Drosophila melanogaster: one gene and its partner. The protein of the gene in region 1 interacts with the protein of each later gene in a pairwise test. Each region holds a gene or a part of one and is shown on either strand. Other genes may lie near its edges.

The links.
Region 2: the proteins of CG1418 (region 1) and CG11779 interact in a two-hybrid assay, tested with the Drosophila melanogaster proteins (one large-scale study listed by BioGRID).

The regions. Positions count from the first base shown.
Region 1 is NT_033778.4:9,962,539-9,968,528, reverse strand, and holds CG1418 (uncharacterized protein), read left to right. Parts: upstream 1-3,461; 5' UTR 3,462-3,812; coding exon 3,813-3,895; intron 3,896-3,947; coding exon 3,948-4,154; intron 4,155-4,207; coding exon 4,208-4,499; 3' UTR 4,500-4,694; downstream 4,695-5,990. Other genes in the region: CG12133 (uncharacterized protein), read right to left, coding at 178-652, 717-1,264; Pal1 (Peptidyl-alpha-hydroxyglycine-alpha-amidating lyase 1), read right to left, coding at 5,162-5,331, 5,869-5,990.
Region 2 is NT_033777.3:19,152,902-19,163,268, reverse strand, and holds CG11779 (uncharacterized protein), read left to right. Parts: upstream 1-3,390; 5' UTR 3,391-3,563; coding exon 3,564-3,659; exon of another isoform or gene 3,660-3,946; coding exon of another isoform or gene 3,947-4,210; intron 4,211-4,283; coding exon of another isoform or gene 4,284-4,753; intron 4,754-5,296; coding exon of another isoform or gene 5,297-5,768; exon of another isoform or gene 5,769-6,031; intron 6,032-6,251; exon of another isoform or gene 6,252-6,607; coding exon of another isoform or gene 6,608-6,610; intron 6,611-6,722; coding exon 6,723-6,803; intron 6,804-6,866; coding exon 6,867-7,404; intron 7,405-7,471; coding exon 7,472-8,136; 3' UTR 8,137-8,864; downstream 8,865-10,367. Other genes in the region: CG42359 (uncharacterized protein), read left to right, coding at 1,519-1,917; Nsun5 (Nop2/Sun-like domain containing protein 5), read left to right, coding at 1,031-1,153, 1,230-1,479, 2,045-2,542, 2,606-3,036; nanos, read right to left, coding at 3,947-4,210, 4,284-4,753, 5,297-5,768; CG5835 (uncharacterized protein), read left to right, coding at 9,807-9,873.

The DNA of each region.
Region 1 (5,990 bases):
AATTCTCAATGGTTACATCTGTTTTTAACATAATCATGTTAAATGTGGCTTTTTGTCCCAAGAACGGTTTTAAAGATAATTGTGTACTTTCTTTACTTGACTGTTTTGGCGATTTTGTTAACAAAGAACAACATCCATTTCTGCATGCATAAAAAGTATCATTTTAATAACGTTAAATTAAATTGGTATTCTTACAGATTTGTATTTCATTTTACGTTCATCTTCAGCGATATCATTGATTTTCTTCTTTATCCACTCATAATATGAGGAAGTTTTCGTGTAAACCGCTGGCCCATATCCGTAACTGGAGGGTCCCCCTCCGTAGGACGTTATTCCGGCTAGGTAATAAAATTGATCAGCACCCCTGCCCACCGAAGCCATCAGCGGGCTACCGGAATCTCCCAGTCCGGTGTCGGTGCCATCCCATCCCATGGCACATATCTGGATGTCCTTATCGACGAGCAGTGTTGGATACCGATTCAAGCATTCATCCGGACTCATTCCACTGATGGTGCCTTGGCGAAGTACGGTGCTTTTTTGCTGCAGACCCGAATCGCCCCAGCCGGCAATTTGAAAAGGGAAGTTTTTGAAGGAGGAAGTTGACAATTCAATGCCAGGCCAAATGCAAATGGGTCTGATCTGAAGAGTGTATCTGAAAGAGAGGACATCGATGGGAAAATGTGAAAAGAGGGAACCCCAAAGAGCACACTACTTACTTCACCCGACTCTTCAGACGCAACAGAGCAATGTCGTTGTAGTGTCTTCCATTTCTCGTGTAGTACTGCTCGTGCGGAACCCTCAGATCCACATCGATGTCCACGTGCGCTGGAGCCCATATCTTGGCTCCATTCGGCAGCCAGGTGTAGTCGGGATCGTTCTCGGTGTCATGCTCGCCCAGGCGCACACGTGCCACGTAGAAGTCATTCACATTCAAACAATGGGCTGCCGTCAGCACATAGCGACTGGCGATCAAGGAGCCCGCACACATGGGAGACGGTCGCTGCTTTGCTGTGTAGGCTTCGTAACCCAGCAGGACTGTCCAGGGAAACTGGTTGGACTGTGCCTCCATGCCGCCTACGATATATGACGAAGGAGGACTCTGTCCGCAGACCCTGCTATCTGGTAGTTTATCCCCTGCAACCATCGGGCAGCAGGTAAAAACCATGTGCACTAGCTCGTGGGCAAAAGGATTAATGTTGCATAGTTTGTTCCGGTACTGTGATTTTTGATCGTTTGTCATGTTCCGGGGATGTAGAATCTTCATAAGAGGTTCACATTTGCTCAGTGGGATGCAAATCTCGTCTAGTCGGCAAAAATTGAATTTTGCTAAGGGGGGTAACAAAAATTGACCAATTAATGGAGCTCAAAATGGCCGAAAATAGCATTTGTAACACTGTATGAAATCCTATTAAAGATTGCATTTTCCTGGTAAGACTATAGTTTTGTGTAGCGAAATCAACCCAATGAAGTTCCAATTTTGTAATTATAAGGTATTAATTATTGTTGAGACCAAAAATAGATCCGTGAGCTGCCAAAGTATATATTTAACACTGACACTGATCCGATGAAATTGTAGATATGTATATTGTATTGTAGTTGCCACTATTTACCAAATTGGAAAGAATTCGCCAAGGAAATCGCTTGAAGCAAAAGTGCCAAATAAAAATGGATCGAGACCATCTTGAAATGTCAAAGCCTAACCGAATACTGAATTCAAAAGCCAGTTGGTCTTAAAAGTTCAAGCTTATCTCGATTGCTAAAATGATTCATGGCACGATGTCCAATCCACAACTTTCCTTGGGTTAATTATAATGGCCTGCCTGTCCGTCCGTATGAATGTCGAGATGTCGGAAACATTAAGAGTAAGGAAGCATGTAAGTTTTCTTTAAAACCGTGCCACGCCCCTGTTACGCCCTAAACTCCTAAAACGCTCACATCCTAAAAGTCTTCTGGATACCAGGAAACGTTCAAATCCTACTACTTTTAAACATATCAAAACTGTAGTAATAGATTGATCAGAGCTATATCCTTGCTACACGCCAAATTATTCAAATTCTACATATCCATATGTTGCAGGTTCATAAACTGAGTAACAGGTATCTAACAGTCGCAACACTCGAATACATTCACAGGTTTTTTGGAAATGAAGGACACCATCACCCTGATACCGCGTGACTAGAACGAGATTTATTTTTTACTTTCTCCACAATCCCAAAATACCGTTGAACAAAAAGATGATAATCAATTTCCATCTCCGTAAACAAATATAAATCCATTCTGAATATTTCAAGACACAATTTTTTTAAGTTAAAATCAAAAATCTGATTCATACCGGAACTGTGAAAAAATACTTATCACTTGTGTCACACCAGCAATATGTTATGACGTCAAAAATCCATATCTGTAAATATATCTAAGTTAGAACTTTTATTATATAGTCTATATTCATAATGGTAATGCAAATGAAAACTCTCTTAACTTCTAAAACTCTTTGTTGGTAAATGTAAATAGAAATGTAACATTTAACCTGAGTGTGTATACAAGATACAAGAAATATAAGATATGTATGTATTAGCCAGAAGACCTGAGAAAAATTTAATGGATGTTGTGTTATCCGTCAAATAAATTGTTCAAAAAATATTTAAAATATCAGCGCGATTCTTACCTGTTACTTGTAAAGCAACGCAGACTCTTAAAATTTCTTTCGTTACGCCTACTTATATAAAAGGAAATTAAAAGAATTGCTTAATATGTTTGCTTTGTTTGGCCTTGTTAAAAGAAATAATAAGTAATTCTGTGATGAAAACATTTTTAAGCAGAGAGAACTATATAGTCCAGTTCCTCGACTATCAGATACCAATTACTCAGCTGGTGGAAAAGTTCAACATTCATTTTGGCTTATCTATACAAATTGGAAAAAAAAATAATAAGATGAAAAATAGGCAAGTAACTTTTTAAAAGTGTGGGTTTGGTTTGGTTTGGGCGCATCCAACATATCTTTTGCCATACTGATAACAAATAGTAAAATTAAAAAATGTCTACACATAAAAGTGAAGACGTAGCAGATTTCAGTGTTAAAATGGGCGTGGTAAAAGGTTTTTGGCATAGCTCTAGAAATTGGCAAGACAAGTAATAAAATGAAAAAAAATCGATTCATTTTTTTAAATTGTGGCGTTGCATCATCAGAAAGAAACTGAATTTCTAATCTTAACTTTCTAGCTTTAATAGTTCAAGTTAATAGACAAGGATATCAAAAATATATACATTTTTAAACGAATCTAGTATAACCATCTACTACACGAGTAATAGGTAGAAAAATATAATTGTTTTGTGTAAAAATATCATTAAAAAATAATTCAAATGTTTAGAGAAAAAGTTTTGTATTAAATGTTTGATTGCATTCAGCGCTTTGGATTTGTTTTCAGTTGATTTCGAGAATTTGCGCACTCGCAACTCTGGCCACACCGCACGTCACGGCAACGGCAATCCTAGAACTATCTGCCACATCAGATTTTTCAAACTTTGTATACTGTTTCTCAAAAGAAAACGATGTCATAGCAAATTAAGAGTGAATCGTAAAATCAACATCGAAAGTGTTGCCGCCTCCATGTAGAAGTGACCCCGCTAAAGTCCTCGCCGCTTTACAAACGCCGCAGCATCCTCAAGACAGTTCTTGGACCAAGTGGAACGAATCCAAAGATACACATAACACTTGTGGAACGCCCACACTTGTCGAAAGAAGAATTGTAGATTGCAGCGAAGACGTGTATCTAAGATAAGTGTTAGGACGAGGTTGGGAAAGCACAAGCAAAATGGCACACACTGGCGGGAACCTATCCGGTAACATGCAGCCGCCACCGCCTTCCGGAGGCAGGTTCTCCGTGGACATGCAAAGGTGAGTAAACCGTAACAAGGAGCGAATAGCTAATTACTCTTGAACCCTGCAGCCTGCCCTCGCTATCCAACCTGCCATCACCGCTGCAGATCTTCCAAATGGTCCGAAACTCCCTGCGGCCCTGGGTAGTCTTCTTCAACATCAACAATTTCAAAACGGCCATCAGCATGCAGCGGCTAAATAGCCGGGTTATTCGGAATCTCTCCTATTTTCAGGCCAACTACGTTTTCATCTTTTTTGTACTGATGATATACTGCCTGTAAGTGATTCTAAAAACCTTATTGCACCCCATTTAATAGTTATAATCTTAAGCATCACGGCTCCCTGCATTCTGCTGGTCATCCTGGCTTCCGCTTTTGGCTGCCATAAGCTGCGCGTGCGCAACAGTAACATTACCATCGTGGGACAACAACTGACGCCCAGCCAGCAGATCATCGCACTCAATCTGGCGACGGCACCAGTGCTATTCCTGGTGGGCGCGGGTGCGGTTTTGTTTTGGACGCTGGGTGCTTCATGCTTCGTGATTGCTATGCATGCTATATTCTACAACATCGATGCTATTGTAACGGAGGAGAATGAGGGTTTCCTCGCCCAGGTTGTCTGACCGCCAGCCAGAAGCTAAACCCTAGGTCTTCTGGGATCGTGGCAACCAGGGACGAGGAAAGGGGCTAAACATATTCGCCACTATGGGGCCTTGCAAGTCGACACAATATGTTGTACACCTATTTATAACGAAATCTAGTTAAGCCGCAGACTTTAAATAATCGAAATACACACTATGACAGATTCATACGACTATATTCTTTTTGGCAAATTAATCGCAATATATGAGGCGCATTCGCTGAGAACTTCGATTTAATTCGAAAAAAAAAATTAATTTAAAGGATGTGGTCAAGTCATTGGACTCTGTGGCACTTACAATATTTCAGATATTTTCGAGCTCTTTAGAGGCATGCGTTTTAAAAATGTATTCTTTTAAATAAAGAATAAATATAAGTAACCGGAAAAAAATCGCATAGTCGGTTCTCCAAAAGAAGTTTCCATAAATAAGCTGTTTAAAATACATTGAACAAACGGCTCAATAAATCAACTAGAAATACACCACGATCGGAATTCTCTGCGATATGCACCACAAGGAAGGTAAATAAAGTTACCTAAAGTACACACATATACATAGCTCGCGTAAAACTAAGTCGGTATTTCAATGAGGTACAGGTAGTTAGAACTAGGAATGCTTTGTTAGCTGCGTAAGTCTTGGTCCTTCGCCTAGGCGTACTGGGCACTCGCCAGTGTCTTCGTCTCCTGCTCCTCGTCGCTGGCCTGCTGGTCCAGCTTCTCGAATCCGTTGCGATCCCGATCGAGAAGTCCGCCCAGCTTGAAGCCATCGCTTTTCTCCCACGCGTGGCGACGACCGCGTGCTCCGAAAGGCAGGCAACCTGTGGGATATGTTGGTACAACTGATTAACTAACAATTACCATGGGATTTATATGAGCAATAACACTAGTCACCCCATTCCCTTCTTAGTTCATGCATAGATCTGCGATCTGGCGTGCACTGGAACAAACCAAAAACGAAAACAGAATACACTTAAGGATAAACGTAAATTTTGTTTGTATGCTTATGTATTTTGTATAAAAAGTTGTATATAATTTGTATATAAATGCGGTATAAATTTTAATTACAATAAAGTTGAACGAAAAGTAAGCCAACGAATACAGAACACACAAGAAGTGGACATGCTGTGTAATTAACGACACCAAAAAAAGCGTAAATAGGGAGATTCAATTGTGGATACAAATGTAAACAGGTTGGAGCTTATAAGTACAGGACACTAAATCAGTTAAGTGTGACAGCACAACACAGGACATTGAGTGAGGAGTTAGCACTACCGATCAGCCAAGACTCTGGGTGGAAGCAGTCAGCTTTCGGTACACCAAGTCACTGGGCGTAGCGGAGCTGTTCGCTTGGTTACCTCGTTTCCTCCGCCGCGCAAAGATCAAAGCCAAGGCAAAGGTAGAGCCGGCGAAAAGGAGCATGAGCGAAGCCACCAGGATTGCTTTGCCGCTCGGGTGGTGCACAGCCACTGCGGGAACC
Region 2 (10,367 bases), on another chromosome or scaffold:
CAAAAGAATTAAAAAATTTAACTTAAAAATAAAAAATATTAATTTATGTATATTTGAAATTAAGCAGCAGTCAAAGTTATTTTAGTAGTTTATTGATGTTTAGTGGGCTAAGATTGTTCCTGAGGGGAGTTCCGCTGTGCACCACAATGGACTGAAATGAATATTCCCGGATTCCTTCTTCATTTCCGCCAGCGGTTAAAACCTGCAAAGTGACAGTGTGTCAGTTTTAATAACTAAAAAGAAAGTGCAAGTATCTACCGATTCATTTACATGGATATCAGTCGTGATTTTCGAGGAGACTCTTTTCTGAAAGTCGAATTGAAAGCGTTAAAAGCCAATACAAAAGTTTCCGGGTGCTGGCTGATGGACTCAACGTCTGTTCTTCGCACCAAGGACATTGTAGGATGCGATCCTCAGCCTTGATATCGTCTATCAACTCCTGGGCAAACATAGAAAGGTACGTTTCCTTAAAGTCCTTAAAGAATAGCGTGCTTCATTTTAATATTTTTTAATTAAAGCAGCCGTACAGACCCCAAAACAAACGACACACCAGAAACAAATTGGAAAAAACTTGATTTAATTCCAATTTACCAACTTATGCACGATAAATAAAAGCATGATTCTAAATTTTGGTAAACCTCCAAGAACGCGCACACTTTGACATTTTAAACTGCGGCTTTATCGCGCCAAAATTTTTAACCATGAAAATATTCTTGTGTTGGCAATGCTTGAAGTACAGTAATTTTTGCTCGCAACGTATGGCCACACTGCCAATTTATTTGTAAATTTGATACCCTGTATGTAAATATATTGGATAGAACATATATGTTTTGTAGTTATCGTTGGCAAAATTAGAACAACCTTTACATTAATTGTAGATATTTTCAAAACATGAATAACAATATGATTTGTTTCAAACGCCACATGCTTATCTCCAGCCCTGACATTCGATAAGCATATATCGATAAAGTCGTGATTGGGGTTGCACCTATTCTAGCGCAAACAACACATACACGTGCACGTGACGACAATGAGTAAAAAACCGCATTCCATAAAAGTTCCCACCCAATACAGGGCGACTGCCAAGATTTTGAAGGCGGCACTGGAGCAGCAGAAGTGCATCAAGACCCTAATATTTGCAGAGAAGCATGCCGTAAGTGGATTGGACCTCTCGTCCGCAGATCAAACCAATATGCGTATAACTTTTCCCTCTCGCACTTCACTTGTAGCGTACACGCTCTTTGCATACGGTTCTGAAAAAATTTAGCGAAAATCGTGTGGCACTGGAAAAGGCCATCGAAGAGACAGGACTGCTCAGGGACAATCCCAGTTTTGATCCCAGTTTGGCCAAGATTCTAGTCACCGAACTGCTGTTTGGCAGGAAGGAGCTGAACGGCGAAAGCAAACCCGTGCAAACGGTGCGAAGTTACAAGGATCGACTGCTAAATTCCATCAGAGATTTCGGTGTCCAGCGAAAAGGCAGGTTATCACACCGATTACCAGTATTAGCCGGCTGAGATGGGCAAGAAGAACAGGAAACAACAGCATGTCGATGTGGTGCCAGCTACCACTGATGATTCCCCGGCTGTCATTGATTCTCCCGTGGAGCATCATACGCAGCAGGAGGACACCAGTGCGGAGGTCTTCCTCTGGCTGTTGGCCTACAGTGTGCTCATGTTCACGCTGCCCTTCTTGGGCTTCTATGGCGTCCGCAGCTGGCTGCAGGAGTCCTTCCCCCATTTGGACCTTTTCACGGTCAACTGTTGGTCAGTTCTCACGGCTGTTGTGGTTGTTAACCTCGTGGTGGCCATGTATGTATTAAAGGCTTTCCGCGAGAAGCCCCCACCACCCTTGGAACCCGTGCAGCAGGATGAGGACGACGAGCCGGAAGCTGCGGAGCCAAAGAAAGAACAGTAACTTAAGTGCTGCCAGCCAAGTCCAGATTATTTCGATCGTTTAAAGGACCAGTAACGACTCTTAACAACTCTTAATAAATCTTACTTTGGCTACAATTTTGAACTCGTCTTTTTGTTTGCCCACACAGAACCCAATCCTCGATATGTGCGCATCAACACAAATCTATACAGCTTGGCGGAGGCCTTGGACTACCTGCATAAAAGCGACTGGCGGCGCAAGGAGCTGCCTGCGGACGCCAGCTATGCGGATTTTCTGACTGCCATCAAATCGCTGGCGGAGAACGAGTTCATGACCGATCTGCACGTTGAGGGTGTGCTCATTTTTCCTGCCAAGTGGTCCAACTACTGGGTCCGCCATCCGTTGGTGCACAGCAAGAGGTTTATACTGCAGAACAAGGCCACCTGTTTGGCCGCCGAACTACTTGCTCCGCCGTCTGGGGCCACTGTGCTGGATATGTGCGCAGCTCCCGGTATGAAGACAGTGCACATATGCAATGTGATGCAGAACAAGGGATGCATCTACTCCGTGGAGCAGGACCACGTACGCTACAATACGCTGTGCGAAATAACAAAGGATGCTGGTTGCGATATTGTAAAACCCATTTTGGGAGACGCCTTGAACCTAAGTGAGTTTTATATTTATATATTTCACAATGAATATTTAAAAAAGTAACACGTTTGAATTTCAGCACCCGAACGCTTTCCGGACGTAGAGTACATCCTGGTGGACCCTAGTTGCTCTGGCAGCGGAATGCAAAACCGCATGACCGTGTGCGACGAGCCGAAGGAGGACAAGCGGCTGCAAAAGCTGCAGGGTTTGCAAATTAAGATCCTGTCGCACGCGATGGGCGCCTTTCCGAACGTCAAACGCATTGCCTACTGCACGTGTTCGCTGTGGAAGGAGGAAAACGAGCAGGTGGTGCAGCGTTGTCTTCAGCTAAATCCATCCTTCAAGCTGCTCAGCTGCAAGAAGGCCTTGCGCAACAAGTGGCACAATGTGGGCGACAAGGACTATCCCAATATTGGCAAGAACGTCCTGTATTGCCAGCCGGACAGTGATCTTACCGATGGCATCTTCCTGGCCCTTTTCGAGAAACGCCGCGAGGGCGAAAAGGATTAGTTGTTTCAAACGCAAGAAGGACATTTGTTTCCTTAAATTGTAACCATTTCTTTATTTGGCACTCGAGCCATTGAATTTTTCATTTTCAGAATATGTGTACACATTTTTTAAAAAAATAAAAAAATTATATAATGCTGGCGGTTGTTTCATGTGTGAAAAATTGATCAATGGTAAACAAAATTGAATAAATATATAACATATATATATATATATATATATATATATATATATATATATATAGATATGTGTGTTGAAATGAATACTTGCGATACATGTAATAAAAATACTCTTCGCTTATCTATCAAAAAGTGCGGAATGTCAAAATTTAAAATTTTACAATGAATGCGTAGCCGACGACGAAAGTGTTCCTTGCTATTTCCTTTAGCAAGATTTAAATTTAGATTAAATTCTAATGATACGATTGACAGTTCGAAATTCAAAGTGTTCCTTTTTCAAAATTTAGTAAAGATTGTAGATCAATTGTAGATATATCGAAATTTTTCGGCCGCAAGCGAACATTTTACGAAATGAAGGCGACCAGTTGCAGACCAATTCCATTCATCAACTTTCGGATTGTAAGATATTTCTATCGGCCACGACGATTGAACAAGTATTACGATATTGTAAGTCTTCTTTAACAAAATTAGTTTCCCTTTCACAGAAACAGACATAAATTCTTGAATTATTGACTTGGATTTGAGTGATCGTTCGTTGTCTATACTATAAGATCTATAGGCACGGGATAACGCTCTAAATCTCTTTAAAATCGAACGCGCCAGGCGCTATTTAAACGTTACTATCTATCTATCTGGTTAACCCAGCTTTGATCGGAATGCGTATATATATTTCATGTTATATAAACGCTGCAAAAGCTGCCAGAGCCTCTGCTCCAGAGCTGGATTCGCCCTCTCTAAACCTTCATCTGTTGCTTGTAGTAACTGCTCTTGGCTAGGCGGAACGATTCCGCCTTGATCGCATCCTCCATGGTGATGATCGGCTTCTTGGGGCAGTACTTAATCGTGTGCGCCGAGTCCCCAGATGCCCCGCAGATGGGGCACACGTAGGTGCGTAGTTTGGGGCACAGCACTCGGTTAAAGTTATCTCGCACTGAGTGGCTATTGATAACCGCCTCTGGTTCGTTGTTATTCTCACAAAAGACGCAGTGGCGGCTGATCTGTTGGAGAAACAAGATAACAAATATATTTTGCAAGTTTTAATTCTGCGAATCCTGGATCAGATCCACTCACCTCTTTGGCCTTGCTGTTGTAACGCTTGTACACCTTGTTGTTGTTGTTATTATTGTTACTGGAATTGGAAGCTCCGCGCAGCTGTTCGCCCTGCACGGGCAATCCCAGACCCATTCCCACGCCGAGATTGGTGGACACAGTGGCCGCTGTTTGGGCCTGCAAACCCATTGTATTGGGAGCGGCTGGTATATACGACATGTTTCGCCACACGTTGTTCAGATGCTCCCGGTAGTTGTTCAGCCAGTGGGTGGCGAGTGGAATGGGCATTAAGTTGCCGCCATTGGTCTGCAGCTGGGCAGGATTGCGGCCCAGTGGCAGGTGCAGCCCCTGCTGTTGCTGATGCTGCTGCTGCGGTGGCATTTGCACCTGTGGCGGAGCACTCCCGTAGGACATGCGACCGAGATCATCGCTGGCATAGCCATTGGTCGCGAACTCCTGCATCACATCCTGCATCGAGCCAGCCGCATTTTCTGGGAATAGCAAGCTTTTCATTACCTTGTCCTGAACGTATTTTTTTTATTATTCGCGTTTCAATTGCATTTCAGAAATGTAATAAGCAAATACGGATTAGTTTTTGCATACAAAAAAAAAACAAGAACAGACGAGAAAAAGCAAAGAACTTCTAGAAAATGTAAGACGCAAAATGGCTTTCCGAAGTTAAAACAAAAAGGAATAGCGAAAATGCTAAGGTCAATGGCCGAAAATTCAGGGGCGCTCGAAAAACCTCTTGAAGGGGATACAAGTGTTGGGCAAAGATATATTTTAAAGCACATACAAAATAGTAAAATAAAAAATATACTACACTAAATGGCGAAAATCCTCTGACCTCTGCAGCAATTATACATTTACACAATTTTACTTCTGTTTTGCTCTGTGCTTTCGTTGCCCCTTTAACTAAGCCCATGGCCATTGACTTTGGCATAACTGTACTTGTACAGATAGTCATCTCGCTCCCGCGCACTGTTTTTGGCTATTCTGTTTTAAACGACGCCATATTCGCCATTTCTTCTTACCTGCTGCGCCCGTCGTCACCTGCGCAAAGATTTTCAAGGATCGCGCAATCTCGTCCGTTTGCTGGTGACTCGCACTAGCCGCTGCCGCTGATGCAGCCAGCGCCAATTGGTGCTGCGCCATGGCCAGTTGCTGCTGCTGCTGGAGCAGCAAGTGGTAGTGGTACTGTCGCTGCATAAGGAGCGAATTGGCGGTGGCTGCGCTGTCGGCCAGAAAAGGGAAGTGCGTCGACTGCGCAGACGTCGACGGGTCAGGGGTCACCGGCGTAATGGGCGGACTCAAAGTGGCCGACGAGTTGGCCCCACTGGTATCCAAATACATGTCCTGCAGGCCCAGAATGTTGAGCCCTCCTCTGGCGTGAAAAGCAGAAAAGTTATCCTGCAATTGGAAAATCTTTCCAGACTGAGCCAACGAGGGGGGATTTGCAACACCTACTGCTGCTGCGCCACTGCCCTCCAAGTTGCTGCGGAACATGGCGAAAATCCGGGTCGAAAGTTACGGTTATCGCGCACTCTACTTTCCACAAATCCTCACCCAAAAACCAAGCACAGTTTATTCAACTGAAGTATTCGCGATACTTCTTTATCTAATAATAATGTACATGTAACTAAACTCGCTTTTGGGTTAAAATCGTGACGCAGAGGCAAAAAAAATCGTATGTCCCTTAGACAACTTGAAACAACTGCGAAGCGTACGGCAATTCCAGGAATTTTGTGGTAAAGCTACGCGCCAACTAACGGTTCTTGCTTAGAGGTGGAATAATGTAGTTTTCCAGCGATAATAAATATATCGATATTTTTAGTAAAATTGAAAAGGTAAACTTAATTTTAGAAAATAATTTATAAGAAATTTAATAGTATGCAAAATAATTTTTACTTGCTAAGAATATGTGCCACTAATTAAAAGCTGGACACCGCGCAATGGAAAATAGTACTACAACACAGCAACAAAGCCTGAGTTATCAACAAAAAAATACGAAAACATCTCCCAAAACTAAGCACCCACACGCGCCACTCGCCGTCACAACACAATCACTGCACACCACCATTCGAATTTCGCGCACTGTGACAACATCACATGATATCGGCGCGGCAACATCGGATTACCGACAAAACGAACTATCGCACGAGCCACCGCCGGCGAAGAGCGCTCGTTTTGCAACACCGGCGCGCGCTGAACGAAGAGAACAGCTGACTGCTTGATACGTGCGTGTTTCGCGGCAGGAATTACATAAAGTTTAGAGCCTCTGACGCCAGACCCCCCGAACATTCGCTCCGATCAAACTACCTGCGAACGGTCACCTAATCCCCACCATGGTAGGTTACCTCTGATCCCGGTCATCACTGGCGTTCGCTCACATCCGTCCTTACATGTGCATATTTCGAGGTTAAAACGGTCGAAGCTTTCAATGATTTTTTCTCCTTGCAGTACAGAATAGCTGCCCTTGTGCGGGATCGCGCCTGTCTCTTCACGTGCCAGCAGGCCTCGCAGAACCTGCAGCAGCAGCAGGTTAGAGTTTGGCTCATAAAACCCCATGGCGCAACCGGCCTAAGTCATGACTTTACTCCGCAGCCCCGCTTTTATAGTGCGCCAGGTCGCAGGGCCGGCTTCTTCTCGCAGTTCTTCGACAACATGAAGGCGGAGATGGATAAGAACAAGGAGATCAAGGACAATATCCGAAAGTTCCGTGAGGAGGCCCAGAAGCTGGAAGAATCGGATGCCCTGAAATCGGCGCGGCAAAAGTTTAACATTGTCGAATCGGAGGCGCAAAAGTCGTCTAGCATGCTAAAGGAGCAGCTGGGCGCCATCAAGGAGCGCGTAGGCGATGTTCTGGAGGACGCCAGCAAATCCCACCTGGCCAAAAAGGTTACCGAGGAGCTCTCGAAGAAGGCTAGGGGGGTCAGCGACACGATCTCCGACACCAGTGGCAAGCTGGGCCAGACCAGCGCATTCCAGGCTATCTCTAACACGACGACGACCATCAAGAAGGAGATGGACAGCGCGAGCATAGAGAATCGTGTCTATCGTGCTCCTGCCAAGTTGCGAAAGCGCGTCCAGCTCGTCATGAGCGATAGTGATCGCGTTGTGGAGCCCAACACGGAAGCCACTGGTGAGTCTCCATCTTTTTCCTTCAATAAGATCAAAGGTCATGGCCATAATGTAATGTTACTTTTCAGGTATGGAGCTGCACAAGGACTCCAAGTTCTACGAGTCGTGGGAGAACTTCAAGAACAACAATACCTACGTGAACAAGGTGCTTGACTGGAAGGTTAAATACGACGAGTCCGAGAACCCTGTTATTCGTGCCTCCCGCCTGCTGACCGATAAAGTGTCCGACGTCATGGGTGGACTCTTTTCAAAGACAGAGCTTTCGGAAACGATGACGGAGCTGGTGAAAATCGATCCGAGCTTTGATCAGAAGGATTTCCTCCGCGATTGCGAAACGGACATCATTCCAAATATTCTGGAATCGATTGTCCGTGGGGATCTGGAGATTCTGAAGGATTGGTGCTTTGAGAGCACTTTCAATATTATCGCAAATCCCATTAAGGAGGCTAAGAAGGCCGGCGTGTACCTGGACTCCAAGATCCTCGACATCGAGAACATTGAACTGGCAATGGGCAAGGTTATGGAGCAGGGCCCGGTACTGATTATCACGTTCCAAGCCCAGCAGATTATGTGCGTGCGGGACCAGAAGAGTCAGGTCGTCGAGGGAGATCCGGAGAAGGTGATGCGGGTTCACTACGTCTGGGTGCTGTGCCGCGACCGCAACGAACTCAACCCCAAGGCTGCCTGGCGGCTGATGGAGCTGTCCGCCAACAGCTCAGAGCAATTTGTTTAGCGCGCTGCCACGCCTTTCTTTTTTACCGAGCCGTTTAAGTTTCCCTCATTTTCTCATCCAAAAAACAAACGAAAAGATTACTGGACACTGAGCATTGACGACGAACTGACCACGAACTCGACCCGCAGGAATCTATTAAGTGTGTACAAAGGTTTCGCTTTCGATTGCTTTGAAAGTTTTGTCCGCCACTAGTCAACTGCGTCCGCCCGGCAGGGGCTGCTGGTCGGTCCCGTGAACGATTCCCCCACGAATTCCGGGCACAGCAGACTGCCGGCTCCGGCGCGGCTCATATCCCAAATGACGCCCCGGTTGGCCGTTCCTTGCGGCCACGCCCACCGCCGATCCACTTCCGGCTAGCACGGAAGGAGTGTTCGGTGCGGGGATTGGCCGTCGGGATCGTGGTTCCTCCGCTGGTGTCCTGGCCAAATCTATAACGTTGAAGCTTAAAGTGCAACCGCCGGTGTATAAGGCGTATAAGTAGTGACCATAAGCAAATTGTTGAGTGTAGTTGAGTTTAGGTATTTTAAGGCCCCAACCCTTTCCGACACCCCCCCCCCTCCCAATCCCCACCCCCTTCTCTTGTAAATATGGAATTCGCTCAGGGCGGCTTGGGCATCGTAAATTGACTGTACACACAGAATCCAAAGAGTTGTATGTACGTACACATCGAGCGCCACTCAGAATGTCTAGAAAAATAAAAATACTTCAATATTTTTACATGTACCATTTAAGCAGCTGGCGAATTCTTGTGAAATAAGTGTTATGTTTCCTTACCCTAATCACAGACATCCAAGTTTATGGTTGCCCCATGGATCGGGCATCCGTAAGCGCCACTTGCTACTAAGTGGGCAAAATAAAAAAAATCCAATACTTTTACATAATCCATTCGATTGGGTGTTTTTAAAACATGGAATGCTTTATTTTCCGATGACAGTTGTAAAACATTTTAATTTTACCTTGGTTAATAAGTAGTATAAACTTGCTGTTTTGAGGGAGAAAATAGTTTGTTGCTCAAATAAAAATGTTTGCAAATACCTAAGTAGTCATTGTTTTCTATGCATGTGATTCATGTATCTCAAAAACTTGAAAAATATTTTGATGTTTGTGACAAAAACAGTGATTATAAATTAGAGACATTTTTATTTGATGAATAATTAGCATAAAAAAGCCTATAAGTATTTGATTTTTTAATTCACAGAATTCATTCATGACCCACTTCGTTATTCAAAATAGCACATATCAGGAATAAAATGTACTGAATAATAATAATAATTTATACCTTTAACAATCGGTTAACGAGCAAGGTGGTAAAATCCGAGCAAAGTTAAGAATGCTAAGTAATTTCTTCGTTTCGAATACCCCCAACAGTAAGTCAATGTTACTGCCTCGATCGGTTAACAGAGAGTTAACAGAGTTGGGGTTAACTCGGCTGGCTCTCAGCTTGAGTTTGTCATTCCGCACGGAAAGCTCGTCGCGAACGCACGTAAAACTGGCAAGGCGGAGAAATATAACAAACATTTACAATTTGGCCCGCAGAATAAGCCGAACGAGCGCTTAATCATCGAAAAGTATCCAGCGATCGAGTGGCGCGTAACCTGTGCGTGAGTGATAAGGAGCTAATTGATAAAGGAAGTGACGACGGTGCCCGCATATCTACATAAATTCGCAATATGATGGCACTGCGGAAAACTTTGGTCTTCAACAGTGCGCTTCTGTTGGTTCTGCTGCTGGCGGAGTGTAAGTACCACGACAGATAAAAAGATATAACTACAGTGACAACGGGCGAAACAAGATAGATAGACACGCACACTCGATGTTTCCACTTCTGCAGCGAAACTAGTTTGCAGCGCAGCTGGATGGGATCGAGTTGGAGCGGCCACTTGGCTAGACAGCTAACAGTTTACGGTTCACCCTTTGCCTTAAGTGCCAGCCAAGATCGAAGACCATGTCCGGTTCGGGACGCCTTTATGGTGAAGCCCGCCCGGTTTACAGCGCATAAATATGGGGTTTTTATTGAATGGTTCGACCGCCCGCCGTCCCGTCGCAATGAATCGTCGTCCATCAAGGTCCCGCCAGGTCGCGAAATTAAATTGCAAGACTTTAATTCCATGGGGGAACTCCATCCATCCAGCTGGCTTCGCAGTGCAGATAAGATTTCGCCAGGCCTTTTGCGCTATATTGGTAAATGATCGCTACGCAGGAATTGTAAGCGAACAGTTGTGGTCAAAATA